Caenorhabditis elegans: one gene and its partners. The protein of the gene in region 1 purifies or fractionates together with the protein of each later gene. This does not show direct contact. Each region holds a gene or a part of one and is shown on either strand. Other genes may lie near its edges. The genes, in order: dma-1, tiam-1, mnr-1 and lect-2.

Region 1 (4,854 bases):
TTATGTCTTGTTCTTCGTGGTCATCTATCCAACTTAATTGGCATTGGCTTACTCCAATTGTTTTGGGTGTCACTTGGGAATCTAACGGATGAGACGACGTGTCATAACAGATTGTGCAATCTACATCCACGAATTCGCGCGCGTGTGCACATACATACGCACATCAATTTATTATTCGAATGGCTCATAAACTCATAAATTAACGAGTCCCTGTCGAACAACCAATTTTCAATTCATAAACGTCAAAATTTTGTGGCTACGGAGATTTTCCCGCGGAGTTTTTTTAAACGAAAAAGTCAACTCTCCTTCTCGAAACCTTCTCAATTATGCATTTGTCTTGGTGTGCATTTGACAAATGAGTTGACCCCCACAGAGAACCAGGGCGTAAAGACAACAGCCTCGCCGATTTATTACTTCTTTGCCGACGGATTTACGGCCGAGAAGAGGTGTCTTACCTCTTGAAAACTACTATTATGCTGCTGATTAAGGCTCCTGTCTATTTCATTGAACTTGGTATATCTACGAGCAGTTTATTTTATTTACAGACAAAGGGTTAAACAATTGAACACCGTATCGAAAAAGGGGGCAAAAATACATGAAAATGGGGCTGGGAGATCGAACGACTAGATGGATGCAAATAATCACACGGATTTAGATTTTTGAAACATTTGAAACTCTCAAAAGGATATTTAAATGCCAAAATAGGATGATCCAGGTTTTGGAGGTGCTGGTGGAATCAATGGAGGAGTGGCTTTAAATGTTTCAGTACTAACCAAGAATGGATCAAATGGTGGTGATAATGGACCATGTGTATCATTTGTACTCGAAGAGCAACTATGTGTGTTTGCCATCGTGAGTGGAGTTCGAGAGTGTTCTCGTGTCACATATGATCCTTTGTACTGTCGCTCACGAAGGAAATAGATGCATCCAAGAATCATAAGAAGTAGTGCGGCAAAAAGGAGAACTCCTGCGAGAAGTATGAGCATTTCACTTGTTTGCGTTAATCCATACCGTGCACCAAACAAAACGGCACAGTCGTTTACCTGAAGTTTTTAAATAGTGAAATTAATAACGTGAATGTGAATCTTACGTCGGTAATTGCCAGAACTGAATGACCTTCCACAAGCGATGGTGTCGCGCATCGGACATTATCGTAGTTGAGAATGTGTCTCATCGCATAACGATCTCGCATATGAACCTGAAAAGATGTTCGAATTAATTCAGAAATAAGAGAGGAAAAGACTCACTTGAAGTCCTTGAATAGCACATGAACAATCCCAAGGATTTCCATCTACGTACACTTGTTCAACATTATTTAGGAATGCCAAATCTGTATGCGAGAAGGTGTGGAATCGGTTGGCTGTGATGTCGAAAGTCTAAAGAAATCTCAGTGAGCAGGTTTCAAATGACATGCGTGTCCCCATATAAGGGGGTCCACAAACGCTTCGAATTTCGTATAGAAAATGGACATACTTTCACATTTGGAAGCAAAGTGTTGATATTGTCAGGCAAATAAGTCAATTCATTTCCGGAAATGTTCAATGAAATCAGGTGGTAATAGCGAGACGGCAGCTGTACCGGGATGAATTTGATGTGGTTGTAGGCCAGTTCGAGATGAATCAACGACTTCAATGTATAGGTCCATGACTCCTCGAAATCTAAAATTACAAATTAATTATGCCATCTCTAGTAACTTTGAAAAACCGTTCTTCAAATTTAAAAATCGGAAAAACTTTTAAATTAAAAACAATCTAAAAAGTTTTAAAAATCTAGTTTTGGGGTTATTTTAACTTTTGCTACAAAAACTCACTTTTCAAGAAATTTCCTGACAATGCAATCGAAGTCAGCTCTTCTTGTGCCCATCCCAACCATTTTGAGTCAAAATCATTCATATGATTGAATGACAAATCCAGATGACGTAATGGCATCGTTCGGAACGCATCCTCGTTAAACGGAGAGTCTTTCGAAATTCCGAGCAAATTGTGGGAAAGATCCAATTTTGAGATATTCGTATTGCAAAATGCACAGGCTGTGATTTCTTGAATGGAATTGTGAGACAAGTCGAGAACAGAAAGTTGAGGAAGAGATCTCAGTTCTTTAGTTGGAACCATTTTGAGATTATTTCCTCCGATTCCAAGTTGACGGAGTTGAGGAATACGATCAAGAGCCAGAGAATAAATTGATGAAAGATTGCAATGATTCAAATATAATTCATCCAATTGGGAAACATCTGTGAATAACTCATTGATGTGTTCAATTGGAATAGGATTCCGGTCTAGTCGTAGAACTCGAAGAGAATTGAGACCTCGAAGTAAATTTGTAGAAAGATCACTGATAGTATTATTGGATAGAGACAATGATCGCAGGGCTCTAAGATATGTGAATACTCCAGTTGGAAGAATATTCAAATGATTCGATGATAAATCCAATACTCGAAGTTTTGGCATACCACCAAAGTTGCTCATTGTCGCATGCTCAATATTGTTTGAGTGTAGATCTAATACTTCCAAAGATGGCAGTCGAATGGATCGGGACATTGCTGGAATCTGACAATTGATGAGACGAAGAACTCGAAGCTGTGCAAAACGGTTTATGTTGTCATTCCATCGAAGTTTGTTAGAACCAATGCGATTTGAGGGCGGCTAAAACAATTTATGTAAATGAAGGGATTAGATTGACGGACGGACGTTGTGGTTTTAGATCTTATCGTTTACTAACCTGAATATGAAGTGATCGAAGAGTCAACGGAAGTTGGTTTAGAATTTCCGCGTAAATCGTATCGTTTATGATTGCCTTTCGACAATAAACACTCCAAGACGAGTCATTTTGATCGCATTCACAAAGATTCGGACATGATGATGGTAGTGCAATAGAGCATAATACCAAAAAACTTAAAAATAAAAGCAAAATGTATGAAATCATTGTTCCAATTCGGAACAAAGAATCCTTGACTTCTCCAGAAGACAAACAACACAGCAGCTAGAAGCAGCAAACGTGAGGCAAAACACCATGAGAAGGCGAAGGGGACGGGCGGATAAAGGGGCGGGGCTTAAGGCGAAGGAGGGTCAACAGAGACACCACCCATGGGAAGAAGAAGAAGAAGGATGACCGGATAGAAGAGGAAGAAGCAATGTGTGCCTGACAGCACCACCTAATGTTGTTTTCATGTACCAGAGGGTGGCAATTATCACACCACTAAAAGAAAATCTATTCCCGCTTCAGGCGTTTTTGGCGTCGGGTGGTGGATGCTTGAGTTTTCTTGGAAGCAAGAGGGTGTTTGACTGAATATAATAGTTCTAAAAAATTTCAGAACCATCTCCAAGGACGAAGTTGAGCTTATCTATGTGAAGATCTATGTAATATCATTATCATCTGAGCTCAAGCAAAACTTTGCTCCTAAAATCTCAACGTCATGCTAAGGTTTCTGATGGAGATTGCATTCACGAACTTATCATATATTCATGAGGTTCTGTTAAATTGTGCAGCTCCACTCGCCCCCGTTCTCGATTGCACCCGGCTGTTCCCTAGATTTCTTCAATTTTCCCTTCAAAGTGATTTTACGAAAGCTCCAAATTATAGAGAATGCTCTAAAGTGATTCAAACGGGCATTGAAAAAAAACAAACGTCTTCCTGTAATAGTGGTCAAGGATGCCAGATGTGAAAGGGTGGGCATCACCAAATGTCAGCAGGCAGGCGCTTTTCGTTTACGACTTGCCCTTTTATTGGTGTACCCGTGTGTGTGTGTGTGGTAATAAAAGGTGATGGTGACTCTTTTCTCTGGATAGTGTTCATATTGACTATGGTGCGAAGATAATTGAGCAGAAGATGACGACGACAAGTGGTGGGAGAAGACAAGCATCGGAATTGTCGACGACATATGGTTCAAATTTGGTGGTAATTCATCCGTCATATCGAGTACCACAGAATACACTTGGCATCGAATAAAGGATCCTGTGGACAAATAATGAGCTGTTTTTTATCCGGTCAACCGAGGGGAATACTGTAAATTCAATTAGAGGAATACGGTACTTTACAGTAAATATCCATACCGTGTCATAAAAGCTTTACGAAGTATTTTCATGAAAAACGTTCTTATAAAATTATGCTTAATTTCGCATACTGATTCTTATCCGACGATTCGGTAAATCATAAAGACCAATGACTAATGCAAGAGACCTCTCAAACTGTATGTCAACACCCAATCAATCTCATTGCAAGATATTCCCGTCAGCATCCAAAACCCAAAGAAAGTGTCAAATTGCTCCTTCCAACACATTTTCGCTTATAAACTCATTAATCAAAATGTTCAATTTCCGTTTGAGATTGAATCTTTTCCGGGTTGTCGGCAAACTTTAACCCAATTCCACCGCATTCGTTGTCTTTCGCTCTTCCAAGCCCGCTCATCACAGACAGACCAATTAAGATGGTGTGAATCTCGGTGAGCACCCGCGTTCGGTTATCCTCGTGTGGAGTGACGAACACCACGGCTGTCACTATCGGAAGTGTGTGTTTGGGGTAATTTATCCACACACCGATTGACATGTCACACAAGCTCTCGCACTCTTTTCATTTATCACACCTGAAGAAAGTGTTGGCGTATGTGTGTGAGGATTTGCGCATTGTGTTGCGGTGCCCTTCAAATGTTTGATGTATCATTTTGTATGCACGAACTCTCTGGAGGACGTGTCCATGGAACTGACACTCATTTTCGACAAGTTTTCTATTCTACGATGAAAATATTTTACGAGCGTATTGGGAGTGGAACTCCCGCCGGGAAAATAGGAATATACATATATACTCGGCAATTCCCGGCAGCTTCTTCCCCAAGTTTGGGCCTTTTCAGCTTCTTACCCA
Region 2 (4,930 bases), 3.9 Mb from region 1:
CAATCCTTTATTGAGAGTTTGACAATTTCTGCCTTCAGTTTCAGAGTTAGCTTTGAAAACTTTTGACCTACCTGTCTTCCTATATATCTCCAGGAATGTTATATTCTACAAGTTCGCAGTCAGTCAAATCCAAAATTCTTGTGTTCCATATCTCACCAAAAGAATCTTTGCATCCCGAAAACTTTTTGCCCCTTCCCGCGCCGCGCTCTTTTCTTTTTTTTTTCATCGTCGTTTTCTGCATCATTGCTAATAATCTCGCTGGATATTCGTTTCTACGTTTTTCTCCCCATTATCATGTCAATTACACAACCGCCAATCCAAATGGCATTTGACCACCTCCCGGGGCGGTGTCGGCGTAATTTTGTCCTCAATGAGTGGTCTCGAGAATTGTATTTAGGATTTATAAATCTTCATGTTTTTTGGTTCGGCATGTTTCCTGATTTTTATGAAGATTTGAAGAGACATGGCGGGCCATTTTTACATGCTCAGATGGCCGAGTTTTCTCTAGCTTAAAAAGTTCACAAAATCATGGACCACCTAGAAGAGCATATCTTTGCACAAAACGTGGTTGCCTAAAAATTTTTCATACCCGAATTTTGCTATTGTCAAGTTTTTACTATATGTTTATTACTTTTTAACCTAAAAATCTGCAGATTCGTATTCCAAGGAGTTTCAACAATTTTTGAGCGAGTTTAAAATTTAATTTCTTTAGCGATGTTAGCATTTTGTAATGCCAATTCTCAAAATCCCGGACAAAAACCTTGTAAACTAACTGTACAACAGGGGTGTGCGGCAAATTTGCCAAATTTGCAGTTTGCCGAGCTCGGCGAATTTCAAAAATGTGGACTTGTCGAATTCGCCGCACACATTACAATTTTTTAATAAAATATATTTTTTCATTATTTTTGGCTTTTCTGCTGTACAGTTGTTTTCGTCTCAAAACCAAAAATTTTCTATTTTTCCAAATGGAACTTTTCCTAAAAGTTTTCCAATGGCCTAGATTTCTCTGAAGCAAAAATCGATTGATTTTTTACAACCTCCTACATTGAACACATCTTGCAGAACAGGTATATAAAAGAGACTAACATGTTTTTGTTCACAGCTCAACGAGCTCGTAAACGCGTTAGTATGTGGCTCTCTGGCTCAACAGAAATTGAACCCATTCGATTTGCAATTTAACTTTTTTCGCCTTCTTCACTTTAAAATTCTTCAACTGAAAATTCAGTTTTGCTCTTTCCAATTCCCATCGGGGGACAAATGTTCTCTTTTTTTTGCATTTTTGTTCCACCCCCTACTTCTCGTTTACTTTTTTCTTCTTACACCCCTAATTCCATTTCTCTCTCTGTTTTTTTGTTTTCTACTCATTTGCAGCACTAGTTTTTTTGGTTCGAGCTGAAGCTGATTGAAAGACAAGTGTATGTGCCAATGAGAGCTCGAAAATGAGCAAAATTCTTGGAAAATTTTGGAATTCAATTTATTTTTCGAGTTTTGTTTGCTTATTTACACATCTTTCCCCACGGGCATTTTGAGTGCTTTTATTCGAGAATTTTTCTTCAAATTTGGAGTTCTTCATATACTTTTTTAAAAACTTAAATTCAATAAATTTAGTCATCAAAATTTTTTTTTGAATTCATCGAAATTTTATTTTAAAAAAGCAGTTTGCACTAACCTGTAGGAAACTTGAAAGATTTTTAAAAGATTTGAAAACGGTACATGATTGAAAAAAAATATTTTTTGAACAAATTCACTGAAGTTTACATTTATCTCATTTAATCCCTAATTCTTTTTTTAATCTAAAATAGTAATTATTCTTCCAATAAAATTTCTCTCACTCTTCTGCTCGCATTTTCCGCGTCATTTTCCTTTCTGTATGTAGTAATAATAAAAACAACTAAAAATTTATATTTTTTACAGAGAAAAACAAGAAACAATCAGAGAAAAGCAAAATAAAAAGAAGACGCTGATGATTCAGTTTCAGTTTGTCAGGAATCGAAAATACGGTGAGAAATTGGAAGCGTAGAATTGTACTAATAAATTATTGAAACTTTATTCACCACTTTGTATCTACATGACCATTAAAAAAATATTTCTAGCATAGAAAACATAAGTTCTCACAGTTTGGTGTGCCAAGGTTTTGAGCTTCTACGTAGCCAAAATAGAGAAAACTAGACCACGTGCAGTTTTTCGAAAGTCGGTTTCATATAATTGTTGCAGTCATTTTTGAAAGCTAATTTCAGAACAGTTCGTGGTAGAAAATCAAACAAAAAAGCCTCGACCATGTAGTGAAACTTTCCTTAAAAAAATTGTTGAAATAGCAGCCAAATAATGGCAATTTCTGATTCCTAGGAACTTTTATTAAAAATTTCTATGAGATTTGTATTTTAAATACGTTTTTAATTACGTTTTTAAATAATTTATTTTTGAAAATTTCAAAAGCTCAAACCTGCAGCAATGTTCTAATTTTTTTAAATTTCAAACTGTTCTATTAGTTGGCAATTTACCAAAACTTGGCAAAATTTTTTGAAGTATTTATTTATGAAATTTGGTCATGTTGAGTGTATTTATACAAAGTCCTCATTTTAAATTGAAGTCAACTATAATTGTGCCAGCGGTCATTCGGAACTGTATACAATGATCACCTAAGAATCTATGTTTTTAAATTTTGAATGAGAAATGTGTCTACATAAAACCAAATTTTTCGGAGGCGAAACCTTACTGGTCGATTCTCCTTTTTTCAAGCCACCTTGCGAAATCTGCTGTTCAAATTAATTTAACTGGTATAAGAATTTTTGAGATTTTGACATTTCTATTATATTTCAAAATTTGAAAAAAAGTGTATAGTTCCTGGAAGCTATAAATCTTAATTTCATAATCCAAGTGGATTAGAACGCCTATTGATAATTCAAGGTGTGTTCTTATATCATCTGAAAATAGTTAAATTCAAAAGATGACACGTTTTTACATAATTTGCATACAGATGACTTCTTCTCTTCCTTCTTCTGTCTGCCACACCCCATCCAAATCATAATAGTTATGTCAAAGCCCCTCTCCTCCTTCAATTCTTTTCATTGTATTTAACCATTGTTTTCATTCAACACCACTTCTCCCTTTCCCCCGTAAAAATCCTATTTTCAGATGTGCTATTCAGGGTTTCCTTTTAGTCACAAATTAAGTGTCATCTTTTAAGAAGAGGGGGCTCCTTCTTAGTAAAAGAGCACCAAGAGTCCGCTCGGCACTCATTTTTCATTTTTGGTGTGAAGAAGAGAAGGGGGATGTGGGGAAGAAGCCTATCCGCAAAATTTTTGGTGTGAAGCATAATTTAGTGTTTGTTGTTTTTCGAGCCATTTCGTGTGGTCAAAATGAGTTTTGAATTTTAAATTTTTTCTTCATTCATCTTCTTATGATGATTGTTAGTTTTTAAAATTATAATCAAGAAATTTATTTTTTCATTTTGTTAAAAGTGTACCAATGTAGGAATAGCTAAAAACCATAGTGCTTTTAATTTTTCTGTTATGTTTTAATTTTTTAAAATTTTGGGCGTTCAAACATGCGGTAAAAAACCAAATTTTCAGTAACTTTGGCAATTTACCAAAAGATTATCAGAAACTTTTCAAAAGCTTACAAATTTGTATTTATGAAAAAGTTTCCACTGGCTCAAAGATTTTCTCCAGGCGCATTTTAGGATCCCCGAAAATCTGCTGTTTTTTCTAGAACATTTTTGAAATTTTTAAACAAAAAAAAATGATTTAAGCTTTTAGAATTAATTAGAACAATAAAAAATATATTACAATTTTCGTTATGGAAAAATTGAAATTCCTGATCCACATTTTTGTAGATATACCTGTTCTCGCCTATTTTCAAAATTTTTTGAATATTTTCTGTTCTCTCTGCAACATATAAAACTTTTTCCAACTTCGCTGTTAACAGAATAACATAGTTTTTTTGCCAGAATTATTCAATCCTAATTTTTTTTTTCCAGGAATTCCATTCTGTTGTCAGTGAGAGAGAACCGCGTTCAAATCAGAATGGGCTCACGCCTCTCATGTTCTTGCTCACAAGCCGAATGCTGGACGAATGATGAATCTACATTGAGGTTTGTTTTTTCTTTGAGAAATATCTATCACTACTTGTCATTCACACAGTTGGTTCGTGTTTATTATTCTAACACTCTGAAAAAAGATAGATATTATAGTTATGGTTAGAATAAACAAAAAGAGTGTGCGAAGGGGAATTGGTATTTGACAAATTGTAGATTGGATGAGGGGGACAAAAAATAGACAAGATTCTGACCGAGATGTCATTAATTTTCGTCAACTAGACACTTTGTTTCGGAAAAAAAGACAGTGGAGAAGAATAAAACCAACTTTTACATTGAAACATTCAAAATTTTAGTTTCTGCTATAAATAATAGAAAAAAGGTTTTTCAGTTAAATTATTCAAATTTAAACTTTATCAACGCAAATCTTTATTACAAAAAACTTAAATAATCTATAAAAACTGAAAAGCGACATTAATTATTCAATAAGAATTTTTATGAGGATTCATTCCATGAACCAAATGATGTACCATTTCTTCTGCATCCATTTCATCTTTAACCGTATTGATTTTCTCGTTTTGCTGATTTCGAATAATAAAATCAGAGGCGTACGCGTCGAAATATGATTTTTGTCGAATAAGTGAAAGAGTTGACTCCATTTTCGAACGATGTCTCACTGATTCGAGAATTCGAATTTTCTCATTGAGCAGCATGATCTTTGTCATTTCTCTGGAAAAATTTTGGAATTGCTGAAAAACTGTAGAAATTCAAATAAAAAACTAACGTGATAAGAGTGTAAACTGAAAATGACCACAATAAAAGGATGAAGCATTTTATATGCATCAGAGCTTCTTCGTCTTCAACTTGTTGCATTTCTTCCAATGTGTGGATTGC
Region 3 (7,212 bases), on another chromosome or scaffold:
CTTCTTCCATTTTTTACTTTCCAACTTTGGAAACTAGTTTTTTATGTGATAAAAAATTTTACAATTTTTTGACATTTTATTTCAAAGTAAAACTACACTTTCTGAGCGCTTTCTGTACTATGCCCTAAATGTTTTGAAAAACTTTCCATGCTCCTGAAATAAAAGGAATTGGACTAATCGAGAAGATCTGGCAGCGGTAGGCACAACTTGCCTACTAAGCGAGAAGGCACTCATAAAGCAGGGAGCCAAAAATGTTTTCGAGTTAATTTTTAGTAGTGTTTTCAAGGAATTCATCTAAAAGTGCGGTACTATCAAAATATAAAAACTGTCACATGAAATTTGACTGCAGCGACGCGCGCGAAATTTTCGCTCTCGATTCCAAATGCCGTAAAAACAGCTGAGACCACGGCCCCGCGGGTGATGACAGAAACGGGAGAAGAAAAAACGCTAGAAACAGCAGTTTTTGCACTGTGTCTTCACATTTTCTCTTCTCCCGTTTCTGTCATCACCCGCGGGGCCGTGGTCCGAGCTGTTTTTTCGGAATGCGGAATCGAGAGCGAAAATTTCGCGCGCGTCGCTGCAGTCAAATTTCATGTGACAGTTTTTATATTTTGATAATAGTTTTATAAATTATTTCTACAAATTAACGAAACAAGCAAAACGTGTTGTTGGTTTCTGTTTTAGTATGATAGCCAAATAATTTTTTTTCTGAAATTAATCTGACTTTATGCTCACTTCCCACTCCCCAGCCTCCTATTCTCTTCCAAAAATTTTTTAGTGGGCGTGGCCTAATTGACTGGGGTTATAGGGATGATGGTGGTCTCCATCCCCCTTCCCCTCCAGCAGCTTCCTGTCGGTGTCGGCGGTTTGGTGGTAGAACACCCACACTTCCTTTTTATGTATGCAAATCTTCAATAATTACTATATTACTAACACTAAGCCTCTAGAATAGTATTTGCAATCCGGTTGAAATTGTTTTTTGGAAGTGGATATTTGACTTTTTTCGCTGGAATTTTTTAAATTTTCATTTTTCTGAAACTACCGCAGTTTTGTGAAAGCCAAAAAAACCCTGCATATTGAATTTGTTCAATTTATTCAATTTTTAATTATAAAAAATCAGTTTTTAGACTTTCAAGTTTTCCGAATTTTTTTCTATGATTTTTCAACATTTTTCGTTTTTTTAGTAATTTTTTAGTAAAAATTGTTTAATTTCTAAATTCTAAGATTTTCCTCATATTTCAGCCGATCTTTTTTTTCATTAATTTCACAAATTTTCCGTTAACTTCAATCTGATTTTTATTGCTTTTTCCTCCCCATTCTCTCCCTTTTCCAAAAAAAGATAGAAAAATGCCAAAAAAAAACGTAAAAGTGTGCCCTTTTTGGATTTGCATAAAACCTCCGTTTATCATTTTTCTTTTAACGGGCCGCAGTGTTGAAATGTTGGCCGAAAAATTCCATTAAAAATTTTTGAAAATTTTGAAATTCTTCTCATTTTTTATCTAGATTTATGTTTTTTAAGGTCGCTCTTGCTTTTTTGAGTTTTTTTTTTCTTGTTTTTTTTTGGTTCAAAATTTTAATATTTTCAGAATCTACCACGTGGCAGCTTTTAAGCCCAAAAATGCTCCAGTTATGATGATATCAATACTATTGGTTTTTGCCGTTTCGACGGCGTATTGTAGAGGTTAGTTGTTATTTTTAACTATTCCAATTTAAACTTCGGCGCTTTTTTTCTTAAAAATCTCTTGAAATTTCCCTATTACTCATTTTTATACCAATTCACAACATATATGCAACATTTTTATATTCAATCTCACCCCTTGGGACTAATCTTTTTGGGACCCCCCCCCCCCATGTCTTACAACTCGATTTTCGGTGGTTTTTCCACTTGAGACTTATCTCCCGCGCAACGCCAAAATTTGGTGCATCCTCATCTCATAAAACTATATAGTTATGGACCATATGGGGGCCTTATGGTCCGTTTGTACTAATTAGACGCCATTAAGAACGCATACCTCTGGATATAATTCCTTTGAAGGAGTTGGAGAAGGCAATAGGAGCAAAACAAAAAATAATGTGGGCAGCCGGGACTTGACCCCTGGTGCTTTGCGTCTCAAGCTAGTCTGTAACCAGCTGAGCCACTTGTGTGTTTTCAGCAAATCAAACTGGTGCGCGCGTGGCTCAATTGAGTAGGAGACAACGTGAGACGCAAAGGACCACAGTTCGAATCTCGGCTAATAGATTTGTGCGCGTATCATCCTATTACTCATCCAACCGGGTGCCAATTGGATTTACCCGACAAAGTTTTCATCGAGCCTTTCATGAGATTTGTGGAAATGCAAACAAAAAGGATCTAATTGTTTCATTCACTTGGTTTACCCCCTCCATCTATGCCGTTCCCACACAAAGAGGGGTCATGATGAGGGATGATGAGAGCTCATTTAGTGCTCGGGAGGAGTCTGTCAAAAAGGATATGGCTCCGGGTGGAGGGAGATTAAGTGAAATTCGAGATTTTCTTGAGCTCGTTATTGAGTTGGCGGAAAAATTTAATGAGCTCTAGTTCTAGGAAAATGATAAATGAATGGGTTCAATTGTAGAGAGCTGTGCGGCGTTCTCCAAAACTTCAGAGCCTAAAGTCTTCCGGAAAAAACTGAAAAAGCGCCGATTTCCGCACAGCTCTGCCTACCAGGTACCCCACAAGTAAATTTGAAGTTTCAAAAAATGTTTCTTTCTCTTGGTTATACCTCCCAAACTGCTCCAATTTTCAGACTATGGCCGTGAGATGCGCGCCACTCGGATGTCTGTGGTGGATTTTTGGAAAAACGAGACGAAAGGTGACGGCCTGAACGTTCGTGTGGCTCATGGAGTAAACAGCTGGCCTGATCTGGTGGATCAACTACACGGTAAGGTGGGGGACATTGCGTAATCTCTTTGTCGGGAGGGGGGGGGGGCGAGAAGGGTCGGAAATTAGGTATGGTTTTCAAGAGGGCCCGGGTGGGTAATGAGCAGAGACCCGTCTGGCGGTAAGTGTTTTTGGGATGAAGGATTACTCGAACAGTAATATGTTATAACAATTAGATGAAAATTAAATATAATTCATGCCTTCTACAGAACCCTTCCTCAATAAATCCATGATGATCGAAGGTGACGTATTCATGCAAGCTCATCGTCGTCCACGTCATCGAGCCGTTCCAGTGATGAAGGCCGACACTAAATTGGCCGATCGAATCACATTTAAGGAATGGCTCAGAGAAGTGGCCACCATGAACAAGGGTAAATAGTTTTAAAATTTTATTTCAAAAAAAATAAAGATCCTCCTCCCCCTACTTAATTTTTCACAGTCTTGCTTCCGTTTTCAAGTATTTTCCATTTATTATAGGCTTTTTTATTTTACTCTCTAAAAATGATCGAAAATCGTCTGCTTTGATTATCTGCAATTAGTTCAAATTGTCCAATTTCCGTCCGCTCTTCCGCACATTCCTCCACCAATTGCCCCATTCGTAATCAGTTAGTTGATACACATTACTATACGTATGACCCTTAACCACGCCCTACCGACCTACAGTAATCTATCATGTTCTTGTCTAGGAGGAAAATGTCTCAATGACAACCGGTTGGTGATGGCAACATATTTTCAAAGGGGTGGAGGTCCAAAAGTTTTGAGTGGGGGTGCATAGATTATCGACACGTTTTATGTGTTTCTAGCTGTCAGATGGGCCAAAACTTTACACACCTCTCAGGAGAAGGGCTGAGCACCTTTGTTATATGTTGTGTTGCTCGGGAGAAGTGATTTATGATGAGGACCTGTCAGGTCTCTAGCGTGAGACAGGTGCATAACGCTCTGGGAGTACGGATAGGGATTCTAAATCAACAATTTTCAGCCATCAAAATCAATTTCCGATCGAATGAAGTAGTTCGTCCGGTGCTTCAAGATCTCTATGCGAGTCAAGCGGATCCAACATCTCCAGTACTACAATACCCAGTGATTTTACACGCAAATGTGTTTAGATCTCCGAGAAGTGTTGAGGTAGTAAACACAATCTTGAAAAAAAATTTTACAATTCAAAAATTTCAGACCGAAGTGGACCCATCGACCTTTGTTGAAAAAGCCAAGGATCTTTTCCCAGACGCCACGCTCTCTCTGGGATGGACGAAGCAGTCGAATTTCAGCCATTTGCATCCAAAATTCAAAAAATTGTCTTGGAGACAACTGTTTCACATTTTGGAGTATATCAGTCGACTGGACCAGCCGGTGATGTTATCCGTTCGGCTATCAGTAGCTGCGCATTCCAAAGAGCAATTGCTGTGGCTTTTGGGCATGGATCAGTCGATTTCGCTGCTTTTGTGGAGTGATGCCGAAGATCATGTAAGTTTTTTTGTGCGTAAAAAATAAAAACTACAAATTTCAATTGAAAAAAAAAAAAAATTTTCTCCAAAACTACAAACGTTGATGTATTGTGTTTGTAGCAGGGGTGCGCGGCAATTTTGGCAAATGAATTTTCGGCAATTTCAGCAGAAAATTCCCAAAACCGACAATTGCCGAAATTGCCGGGAACTTTGAAAACCGGCAATTTCGGAAATTGCCGCATTTCCCGATAGCCGGTAATTGTAATTTTCGGCAATTGCCGAAATTGCTAATCGCCGAAATTTCCAAAAATCGGCAATTGCCGGAATTACCGATTGCCAAAAATTTCCAAAACCGGCAATTGCCGGAATTGCAGATCAATGGAAATTGTTTCAAATTTTCATATAAATTTTCATAATTGCCGAAATTGCCGATTGCCGAATATTTCTAAACCCGGCAGTTTCGACAATTGCCGGAAATTTTTGTAGTTTTGGCAGAAATTTCTCATTTTTTGATTCCAGGTCACCAATTGGACGCCGATTGTCGAGTTACGCCGTTCAACAACAAAAAATCGAATTCTTTACGATTTGGACCCGAAGCACAGGAAGTTCCTGCAAACTGACAGCAATGAGCCAATTGCGGTAAAACCTCACAAACTGAAACTGAACTGAAAACTAAAAGATTTCAGACTCCGCCGACATTCTCGCTGCAAGATTGGCAAGCAGTTGAGTTTTCTTCTTCCGGATCCCAACTTTCTACAGTGGTCCGGTCGGAAAAGGGCCCGGCGTTTCTTGGAGAGCCAACTGCACTGCTTTTATCGAAAATTCCTCCTCCAAACTTCCCATCCGAACAGAAAATCAGTGGAAAAGTGCACTTTTTGCCGAAAAAGGGAATGGAAAATGTGGATTTGGATGAGAATAGTGGAGTTTCTATATACTTGATGGATAAGGTGCAAGACATTGATTCACCAAAGATCAAGAATTCGCTTGAGGTAAAATTTTCAGAATTTTAATTAAATGAAATGTTGAAAATCAAAATTTTAGCATAAAAAGTAGAATTTGACAATTCGAAAACATTTTTGAAGGATTATAGAAATTTTTGGAAAACTCAAAAAATCGCCGGAAAAAATTTCAAAATTTCTTTTTTGAAAACTTTAGAAATTTCGCAAGAAAAATTGATTATGATTATAATTTTCAGGTTTTCATTGGTTTTGACGGGAAGATAAAAATCACCAATGGACAGCTCAAAAATCTACCGTACTACGAGACAAAATCCGTCGGGCAACTACCGGATAGTGATTGTTATGGATTTGAAGGTTTGTAGTTTTTGTAGCTCTTTTATTCTACAGAATTTAGTTTTAAAATTTATAGTATACATTCGAAACAATGAATGTTTAATAAATATATATATTTTTTTAATACTGATCGTATAAATTTTTATTTTTAAAATTTGATTGTGAGTACAAGTGAAAATAATTTTAAAATTTCAATTTCTGAAACAAATAATGCCACAAAAAAGTTTTCAAATAAAATAATATTTTCTAGTTATAGCTTGAATTCAAAATTTCTCAATTCTCCGACTAAAAAATCAATTTCAGTGACCGATATGGGATGGAGAGTCAAGTTGGACGCCTGGACTGCAGAGTGTGGCAATCAAAAATTGCGAAAACGAAGAACCGTGTCCATTGAGCTGGATACACCGTTTCAAAAGTTAGTTTTATTGGAAAATTAAAGAATTGGAAACTTAATTCTAATCTACTTCTGGAACCATTAATTTTTTTAGTCAAGAATTTCAGAGTTTCTGGAAATTTTCATCAAACATTGAATGTGAACTAAAATTTAATTTTTTTTTTAAATTTTCTTTAGCCCTTCTATTTTCCTTGGTTTGAAATTACTTACATAACTAATTAGGAAAGTTTCAAAGTGAAAAAAGTTGAAACTCATTTTAATCCCAATTTCTCCAGAAACCGACACCTGCGAAACGTCGTGGTATCAAAAAAAGGTGATTCAGCTGTCGATTTCCTTCTCGAAGAGCTTCAACACAAAAACGCCTACAACTACCGTAATCCATGGATTACGGTAGTCTCAACCATACTCCTAATGATCTACCTACTTTAATTTGACTTTAAGACGGGTTTTTTTTCTGCACTTTCAAATAATCCTCGACTTTTTGGTGCTATTTCATATTGCCGATTTTTCTTCTAGAATTGCATTTTTGTTTTCAAAACTTTTGAATTTCATAAAGGAAATTTGAAACTCTGTGATATTTAGTCAGATTTTTTTCTATCTATTCCCAGTGATTGTTCCGATTTTTGCGAATAAATGATTAATTAATCAATTGTTGCATAACTTCTGAGAAAAAAAGTTCAAAGACAGATTTCGCTTCGAAATATCAAGTCTTCAGCGGGAAATCGTAGTTTTATACATTTAAAAAAAAAGACGATCAATTTCCAAATTCATGAGAACACAAAAACAAATATTTTTTAAAAATCGAGTACGAAAATGTCAAAAGTGCCTATAGATTGGGCGGAGCTCGAATATCGACCTGCCTGCTTCGTGCCCCAACGATTATTTAATTGAACACATAATGTAAAGTTAGAAAATTAAAAATGCTTAAATTATTCCCACCAGAATTCAAAAAAACGTACAGGTCGTAGGAAAGAAAATACGAGGCTGGTCGCCTACAAACTTTACTGGTGTAAAAATTCTATGGAAATCAATAGTAAGTATCCGCGAATAACTTAAAACATGAAGAAAATTGCATATTCGGTAGTTTTTGTTAGTCGTAGACTATTTCATAACCGGAACCCTTCTACCATGAGTCATCTGACTTGTGATCAATATTATTGACGAATTTCGAATCATCGCCCT
Region 4 (6,118 bases), on another chromosome or scaffold:
CTGTTGATGTTTTTACAATTCCAATTCTTGAATATCTAATAAATTGTATCCTGCTCTAGAAAACTCTCATTATTACTTCAAAAACGTACTCGTTGGTCTGAAAATAATTAAATAAACATGATGTTACACAATAAACAACGAAGGTGTATCTATGGCAACCAATCCATCATCTACAATTCATAACTATTCCCTTCCTATTTTCTAGTTTTTCACTCTTCCGTATTTTTTTGCCCAAACAGTCGTCTTGGTGAACTCGTAGACATGACGACCACGAAAACCAATCCTTGACAACCTCTTCTATTTTCAACATTCATTTTTCACAGCTTTGTCATTTTTCTTAAATTTTAGGATTCTGAGAAATTTCCTTTTTTTTTCATACTGATGTCAATAAACTATTTTAAATTTGATTGCGATGATGATCTGTGCAAATATCATGGAATAGCTCATCTACACTGCGGACACAAACGGTACAGTTCCAAAAATTGTTAAAATTTTTAGGATTAAGCTTATGCTTAGGCTTCGGCTTAGGCTTAGGTTTGGGCGGTGGAGGGGACAAGCCCTATTTTTAAGAGATTGCCATTAGGAATAGAAAAATAATGCACAAAAATCTTGTAAAATCCAGGGCGTAGCTCTTCAGAAGACGGTAATCATTTAATAAATAATATTTTATTGCAGGTGTAACTTTGCATCAAATGATGCTCTTTTGATATCAAATCATCTTTCCGTGTTCCATTTAAAAAACTCTGAAATTCCTGACGACCGAATATTCTATCATATCGACGTCTCATGTGGATCTGACAGGTGTCAGTTTAACCGAAACAGTTCTCATTGGCACTGTGCCAAATGTCAAACGGTATGACTATTCTCTTTCAGAATAATTTTTGAAGTCTGGAAAGCTTCTGTGACACTGATCAATAATTCATAGTTTACAGGGATTTGAAATTGTTGGTCTCCATTGTTGTCCAATCACTTCCCTTCCCAAACGGCTTGATGTAGTTTTCAGGTTTACAACAACTATTTCATTTTTAAAATTTCAGTCCTGTTCTCGTCCGTTCTGCAAGCTCAAAAAGAAAGCACACTTTCATTGCAAAATTTGTGATCAGGTAGTTTGGAATACAAAGTAATCGACGAAGAACTGTATATGTTCAGGGTTTCTCGAATAACACAAAATTGGCAAATCATACACATCGGACTCAGAAGCTGCAAAAAAATATCTGCATAGAAAATGGAAAATTGAAACCGAAAAAAACCACTCCGAGGGATTTTTTCGTGCTTCGAGAACCTATTAGGTTTACGATGGAAGAACATTTTGGAGGAGGGAGTGTGAAAGAAGAATAGGATCTTAATTTTTTTTTTACTTTTTTACATAAAGTTAAAAAATATATTTCAGCCGAAGTATTTGATATTTGTTGCGAAATTAATAGTTGTTGTTAAAATTGGACATATTTTGGAGGGTTTTTATATAAATTAAGGTTTTTTAGATCATAATTATCTCCTGTATGTGACTCTTCAGAAAAAATCAAGTTGACCTATTGAGTAGACGTAATACCTCTATAGTCCCATAAAACTATACGACTTGCTGCTCTGTGAGCACTCTTTCTCACATTCACCCAGTGTGCCCCCCATTATTGCATTTATTGGTGAGTACACCCTGAACAACAACACAATAACTAACATCGATCTGAGATCAAGCGCAGATAAGATAGAGACGCAGATGAAACAAGAGTCAGTTGTCTGTGCTCTGTGTCTTCAGGACGTTCTTTTGACATGCCATTCGATGATTTGGGTTGATGAAAAGTAAGGAAGAACATTTCTTCTTTTTTTGCCTGCAATCATCAAACTGAGCTTTCCGTTTTATTTATTACTTTCTCTCTCCACCTTCTTCTCTTTTTTGTTGTGTTTTTTTTTCTTTTTAAAGTCTCCTAAGTGGCTTTTTTTGCAGTCAAATGCATCTGAGAACCTTGCATTTTCTAATACTTATTGGGATATTCATAGGAGGTGAGTTAAACATATTTTGATCATTGCAGCGGAGTTTTTTTAAAACAAGTTTTAAGCAAACAATGTTTCAAAGTTATTTTTTAAGATTTTTCAAAATTTTAATAGTAAGTCAAGTGTTGGCAAATTTCCAACTTCATAACCTATTGGGGAATTTTGAGAAATTGAGCGAATACTCGCAGATTTGAATCCATGTAGTGTTTGAATAAAATAATCAAAACAGTATATTTTTGGTCGACTTCAAAAAAAAATTAGTTATTTTAAAGACGTATAAGATATTAAATACTTGCCGCTGGTGCTACTCCAATTTTCACATTCTGAAAGTTCACTTGCACTTTGCAACAGGCAAGCGTGTAGGTTCAAGATAGTCGTAAGTTGCCTTGAAGGCTTTATTTAATTGCACCAAACACTAAATTTTCAGCACAAGAAGTTGATCAACTTTTAATTATTTTTAATTTACAGGTCAGACATTGGGATGTATGAAAAAAGTTTGTGGAAACAATGCAAAAAACGATTTTCGTCGCTGCCCGGACACTGATGGATCCTGCGGTAATTATCATACAGAGAGGTGAGAAACTTTTTTATACTAATTTTTTTGTAAAGAAACTTTGTATATAAGTGAAAACATAAGAAGTTATTTTTCAATAGTAATGAATTCAGACATAGAAAATAGCGTGATCAATTTCTTTTGTACATCTTTCACGACTCCTTACAAGCTGAGATTCACTTGAAATAACAATACATCGAAGAAATGTTGCAAGTAAAAATAAAATAATACCTAAAACTGTAAGGGCTCCTAATTTAATAGTTATAGTTGCTCCGTTTACGAGATCATTGTAAAAACCAGCAAAAAATAAATGAAATAGAGGAGATAACAAACTGAAAACTAACGTTTGAGTAAATAATTTCAAATTTAAACATCGAATTGAATAAATTTCAAGAAAAAGGGCTAACACTGCTAAGAATGGCCATTTGTCGTCAGGAACATTGGCTAGAAAATCAGAATTTTGAAATAAAGTATAGTGAATGAAAAGTTGAAATATTGAAATTAATACAGAATGTTGAAAAAGATAAATTAACAATCGATCGATAACTGCACATCTTTGAAGCAGTGGTGTATCTGGAAATTTAATTTTTCTTTCATTTTTCCTTGATTTTTGAAAATTGGTGTAGCAGTTTTCAAATGAGATTTAAAACTGAAATTGCAATACAAAATATTTTTGAGAGCATTTTTGAATATTATAAATTGAATACCAGTACTCCAACACTAAATGACCGCTATAATACATATTTACTTCTCATATAAAAAATAATAGATTTCTAGAAGATCCAGAGTAACTTTAAATGAAAAAGGAGATTCTAAAAATTTAAATTTACTGAAAAACTTAATTTCCGTATTTTTCCAATTAATTTTCTACTTCCAGTTGTGATTTTAAAAAGTTTTGAGAAACAAAAATCTTGAAAATAGATCAACTTATTCTAACCAGTTTATCATTGTTATGAATTTTAAAAAAACCAGATACCCAATCCAGACAAGATGCAAAACTAATATTGTACTTCACTCAAATTTTGTTTTATTTTAAAAACTCAATGCTGGAATTTTATGAATTTCAAGAATTCAATTTTGTTATAACCGAAACAAACCTTGAAACGCTTTATCGAAATTTCCATACAAAATATAGATCAACAATCGAAATTCAGAAATTTCCAACTTGGAAACAGTAGCAGTCGGTCGTTTCATTCTTTTGAAGAAAAACACGAAAAGTGAGCTCACAGATCTTTTGAGCCGCGGAAAAGAGAAAATGAGAAGAAACAGAGATAAAGTGATGATATCACACACATTCTAACTCACTTTTCAAAAAAAAACAACGGATGATATGACACATGGCTTTTGAAACGAGACAACACTGGTTTTAATATTAAAATGTCTAGTTTTGAAATTATACAATTTTTTATTTATTTCTAGAGTTTTGCTAAATGTATGTTATAATAGTGACAACTTATTTTTTCAGAACATCAGGAGAAATAATCGATGGAGTGGATGTTCGATGTCATCTCGGAGAGCCAATTTATGCTCCAATTGAAGGAGAAATGTACTTTTGGAGACCATATGGAGGTAAACGTGAGAAATCATGCGCCGACCAAGGAGTGAGAATTGAGGGAACCGGGCAGTGGCAGGGTACGTTTTGGAACTTCAAATATAAAACTATTGATTTTTTTAAATTTAAGGCTACGCAGTGCACATATCTTCTGTTAAATTGTCCTTTTTCGGAGGGCATGTTGAAGCTGGAGATGAGATTGGAGAAGCTTTGAATCGATATTGTTTCAATGACAGAGGACAAAATGATGTCGAGCCTCATGTTGAGATTCGGTTGTACAAAGAAGGAAGACTTATCGATCCGACTCATCATCTTCAAAATTGTAATTTTTGTCAAGATCAGGTTATTTAGAATTACTAACATATTTTCAGGCATGTGTACTGGTCAGATCTGTGAATCAAACACTAGAAATGTGCTCCTTGGTGACCCTTTTAAAACTGACAAGTAAGCACTTGTTTTAGATTTTAATATATTATGGAAGAATTGCATGGGCTAAATTTTTCCCGCTGCCAAAACCAATTTTTTTTTTCAAATTCTCTCTCAATTTTTGCCAAATTTTTTACCAACTTGTGTAGCAAATTTATGTTTTCAAGCCAAATAAACCAGTGACAAAGTACCAGAAAATAACAATACATATACGTACTATATACTCTAATAATTGGGTACCGCAAAACAACTTGCAATACTAATAGGGGCGTTTTTAACAGAAACAGCTATGCATTGAACAATTAATTTCAGACGTTACAACGGAGTTCGTGGTTGGGATGTTGAATGTCAAATGATTGATGATGATGATGAAGATTCACCACGTGCACCAATGATCTATTCACCAATTGCTGGAGAAATCGTTGGAAGAATTCGTCTTTTCACTGACTCAAATGGAGCTTACACCGGATGTGATAATGATGGAATTTTCATTGTTGGAATTGATGATTGGCTCGGATTTGAGGCAAGGCTGTACAATGTGAAGGCTCGAGCAGACATCGGATTTGGAAGAAAACGAATTATTCAAGGAGAGCCGATTGCAACTCGGCTGGCATGTGAAAATAGTCCGGACAGTGTGTTTGTAGAGGTAACAGTTTTTTTTAAAGATCAGAATATGCGATTGCACTTTTTTCTGATCTTCAAGAAAATTTTAAAAATCAGGTTCTAATTTCTATTTGTCAAAGGTTTTTTGCTTTTGATGGCAAATGATAAGTAAGCTAAAAGCTCATGTCTCTTGAAACCAGTGAAGTTTTTTGTCTTCAAGGAGTATATCCTTCAGAAATATTCACATGGAGTTTCCGTTTTCATCTTTAATTTTTCAGATTCGCTTCGAAGGCCGAGTAGTCAATATTACTGATATCATAACCGCTGCCAACTGTAAAACTCCGAACTTTCCAGTATTCTAAACAGTTCCTTACTAATCTCTGAAAATGTCTCACAATTGCTTTCTGAATTCTCTTGTTCTGTTATTTCTTTGATCGTCATTACTTGCAATTAGTTTAAATAAATTTGTTAAAAATTTTAAAACAAAAATTCTTTACGTAAAACTTGAAAAACAATTTTAAAAATATAAATTGTCCCTACTCATCCACGTTGAATGACCCTTGGATGAAAATCAATCGATTGTCTTTGATTTTATTCATCAAAGTTGTTGCTGTCAAAAGTGCAATAATCATTGTGTGGACATGCTCACTCGTCTTTCATCTGGAACCACCTGGAATCGGATTGCCGTTCAAAGCCGACAAATGTCATTTGGTTAGTTTAAAGAAATGTTTACCCAAATGCAGTTGTAAAGATTTTTACTTGCTTTGTCAATGTTTTTGAGTATGTTATATGCCAGTTGACAATTGACTGACTTTGACTTGACTTGAAGGAATATTTTCATAGTCTAAGCTAAATAATACGACGTTCCAAAAATGTATCAAATAAATAAATCAATTGTTTAATTTCAGAACTGTCCGACACTCAAAAGGAAATTCAGTCCCATGCTATAAAATTTTCGAAGGACGTTCTTGTGCCAAATGCTGCAAAATTCGATA

What was found.
Region 2: the proteins of dma-1 (region 1) and tiam-1 purify together in Caenorhabditis elegans (affinity purification with western blotting; 2 studies listed by BioGRID, with this or other methods). This does not show direct contact.
Region 3: the proteins of dma-1 (region 1) and mnr-1 purify together in Caenorhabditis elegans (affinity purification with western blotting; 3 studies listed by BioGRID). This does not show direct contact.
Region 4: the proteins of dma-1 (region 1) and lect-2 purify together in Caenorhabditis elegans (affinity purification with western blotting; 2 studies listed by BioGRID). This does not show direct contact.

The regions. Positions count from the first base shown.
Region 1 is NC_003279.8:8,280,134-8,284,987, reverse strand, and holds dma-1 (LRRCT domain-containing protein), read right to left. Parts: upstream 3,020-4,854; 5' UTR 2,923-3,019; coding exon 2,719-2,922; intron 2,643-2,718; coding exon 1,811-2,642; intron 1,659-1,810; coding exon 1,474-1,658; intron 1,377-1,473; coding exon 1,248-1,376; intron 1,199-1,247; coding exon 1,091-1,198; intron 1,044-1,090; coding exon 690-1,043; 3' UTR 511-689; downstream 1-510.
Region 2 is NC_003279.8:4,407,777-4,412,706, forward strand, and holds the start of tiam-1 (DH domain-containing protein), read left to right. Parts: upstream 1-1,912; 5' UTR 1,913-2,000; intron 2,001-3,094; exon of another isoform or gene 3,095-3,284; intron 3,285-3,979; 5' UTR 3,980-4,025; coding exon 4,026-4,093; intron 4,094-4,239; exon of another isoform or gene 4,240-4,325; intron 4,326-4,448; exon of another isoform or gene 4,449-4,518; coding exon of another isoform or gene 4,519-4,765; intron 4,766-4,820; coding exon of another isoform or gene 4,821-4,929; intron 4,930-4,930. Other genes in the region: T21E12.5 (Guided entry of tail-anchored proteins factor 1), read right to left, coding at 4,519-4,765, 4,821-4,929.
Region 3 is NC_003283.11:20,653,066-20,660,277, forward strand, and holds mnr-1 (Menorin), read left to right. Parts: upstream 1-1,586; 5' UTR 1,587-1,629; coding exon 1,630-1,681; intron 1,682-2,765; coding exon 2,766-2,900; intron 2,901-3,108; coding exon 3,109-3,270; intron 3,271-3,878; coding exon 3,879-4,024; intron 4,025-4,072; coding exon 4,073-4,363; intron 4,364-4,863; coding exon 4,864-4,983; intron 4,984-5,030; coding exon 5,031-5,333; intron 5,334-5,539; coding exon 5,540-5,657; intron 5,658-5,939; coding exon 5,940-6,051; intron 6,052-6,305; coding exon 6,306-6,459; 3' UTR 6,460-6,679; downstream 6,680-7,212.
Region 4 is NC_003280.10:5,788,791-5,794,908, forward strand, and holds lect-2 (Leukocyte cell-derived chemotaxin-2 homolog), read left to right. Parts: upstream 1-1,932; 5' UTR 1,933-1,946; coding exon 1,947-1,998; intron 1,999-2,457; coding exon 2,458-2,563; intron 2,564-2,567; exon of another isoform or gene 2,568-2,651; coding exon of another isoform or gene 2,652-3,115; intron 3,116-3,639; coding exon of another isoform or gene 3,640-3,736; exon of another isoform or gene 3,737-3,800; intron 3,801-4,007; coding exon 4,008-4,174; intron 4,175-4,224; coding exon 4,225-4,416; intron 4,417-4,465; coding exon 4,466-4,538; intron 4,539-4,832; coding exon 4,833-5,166; intron 5,167-5,401; coding exon 5,402-5,485; 3' UTR 5,486-5,612; downstream 5,613-6,118. Other genes in the region: K05F1.13 (C2H2-type domain-containing protein), read left to right, coding at 382-467, 676-853, 933-992, 1,038-1,103, 1,150-1,338; K05F1.14 (uncharacterized protein), read right to left, coding at 2,652-3,115, 3,640-3,736; acdh-8 (medium-chain acyl-CoA dehydrogenase), read left to right, coding at 5,765-5,834, 6,032-6,118. UniProt on the Caenorhabditis elegans protein: Muscle-derived dendritic guidance cue, which is required for the formation of somatosensory dendritic arbors which extend from PVD and FLP sensory neurons during development.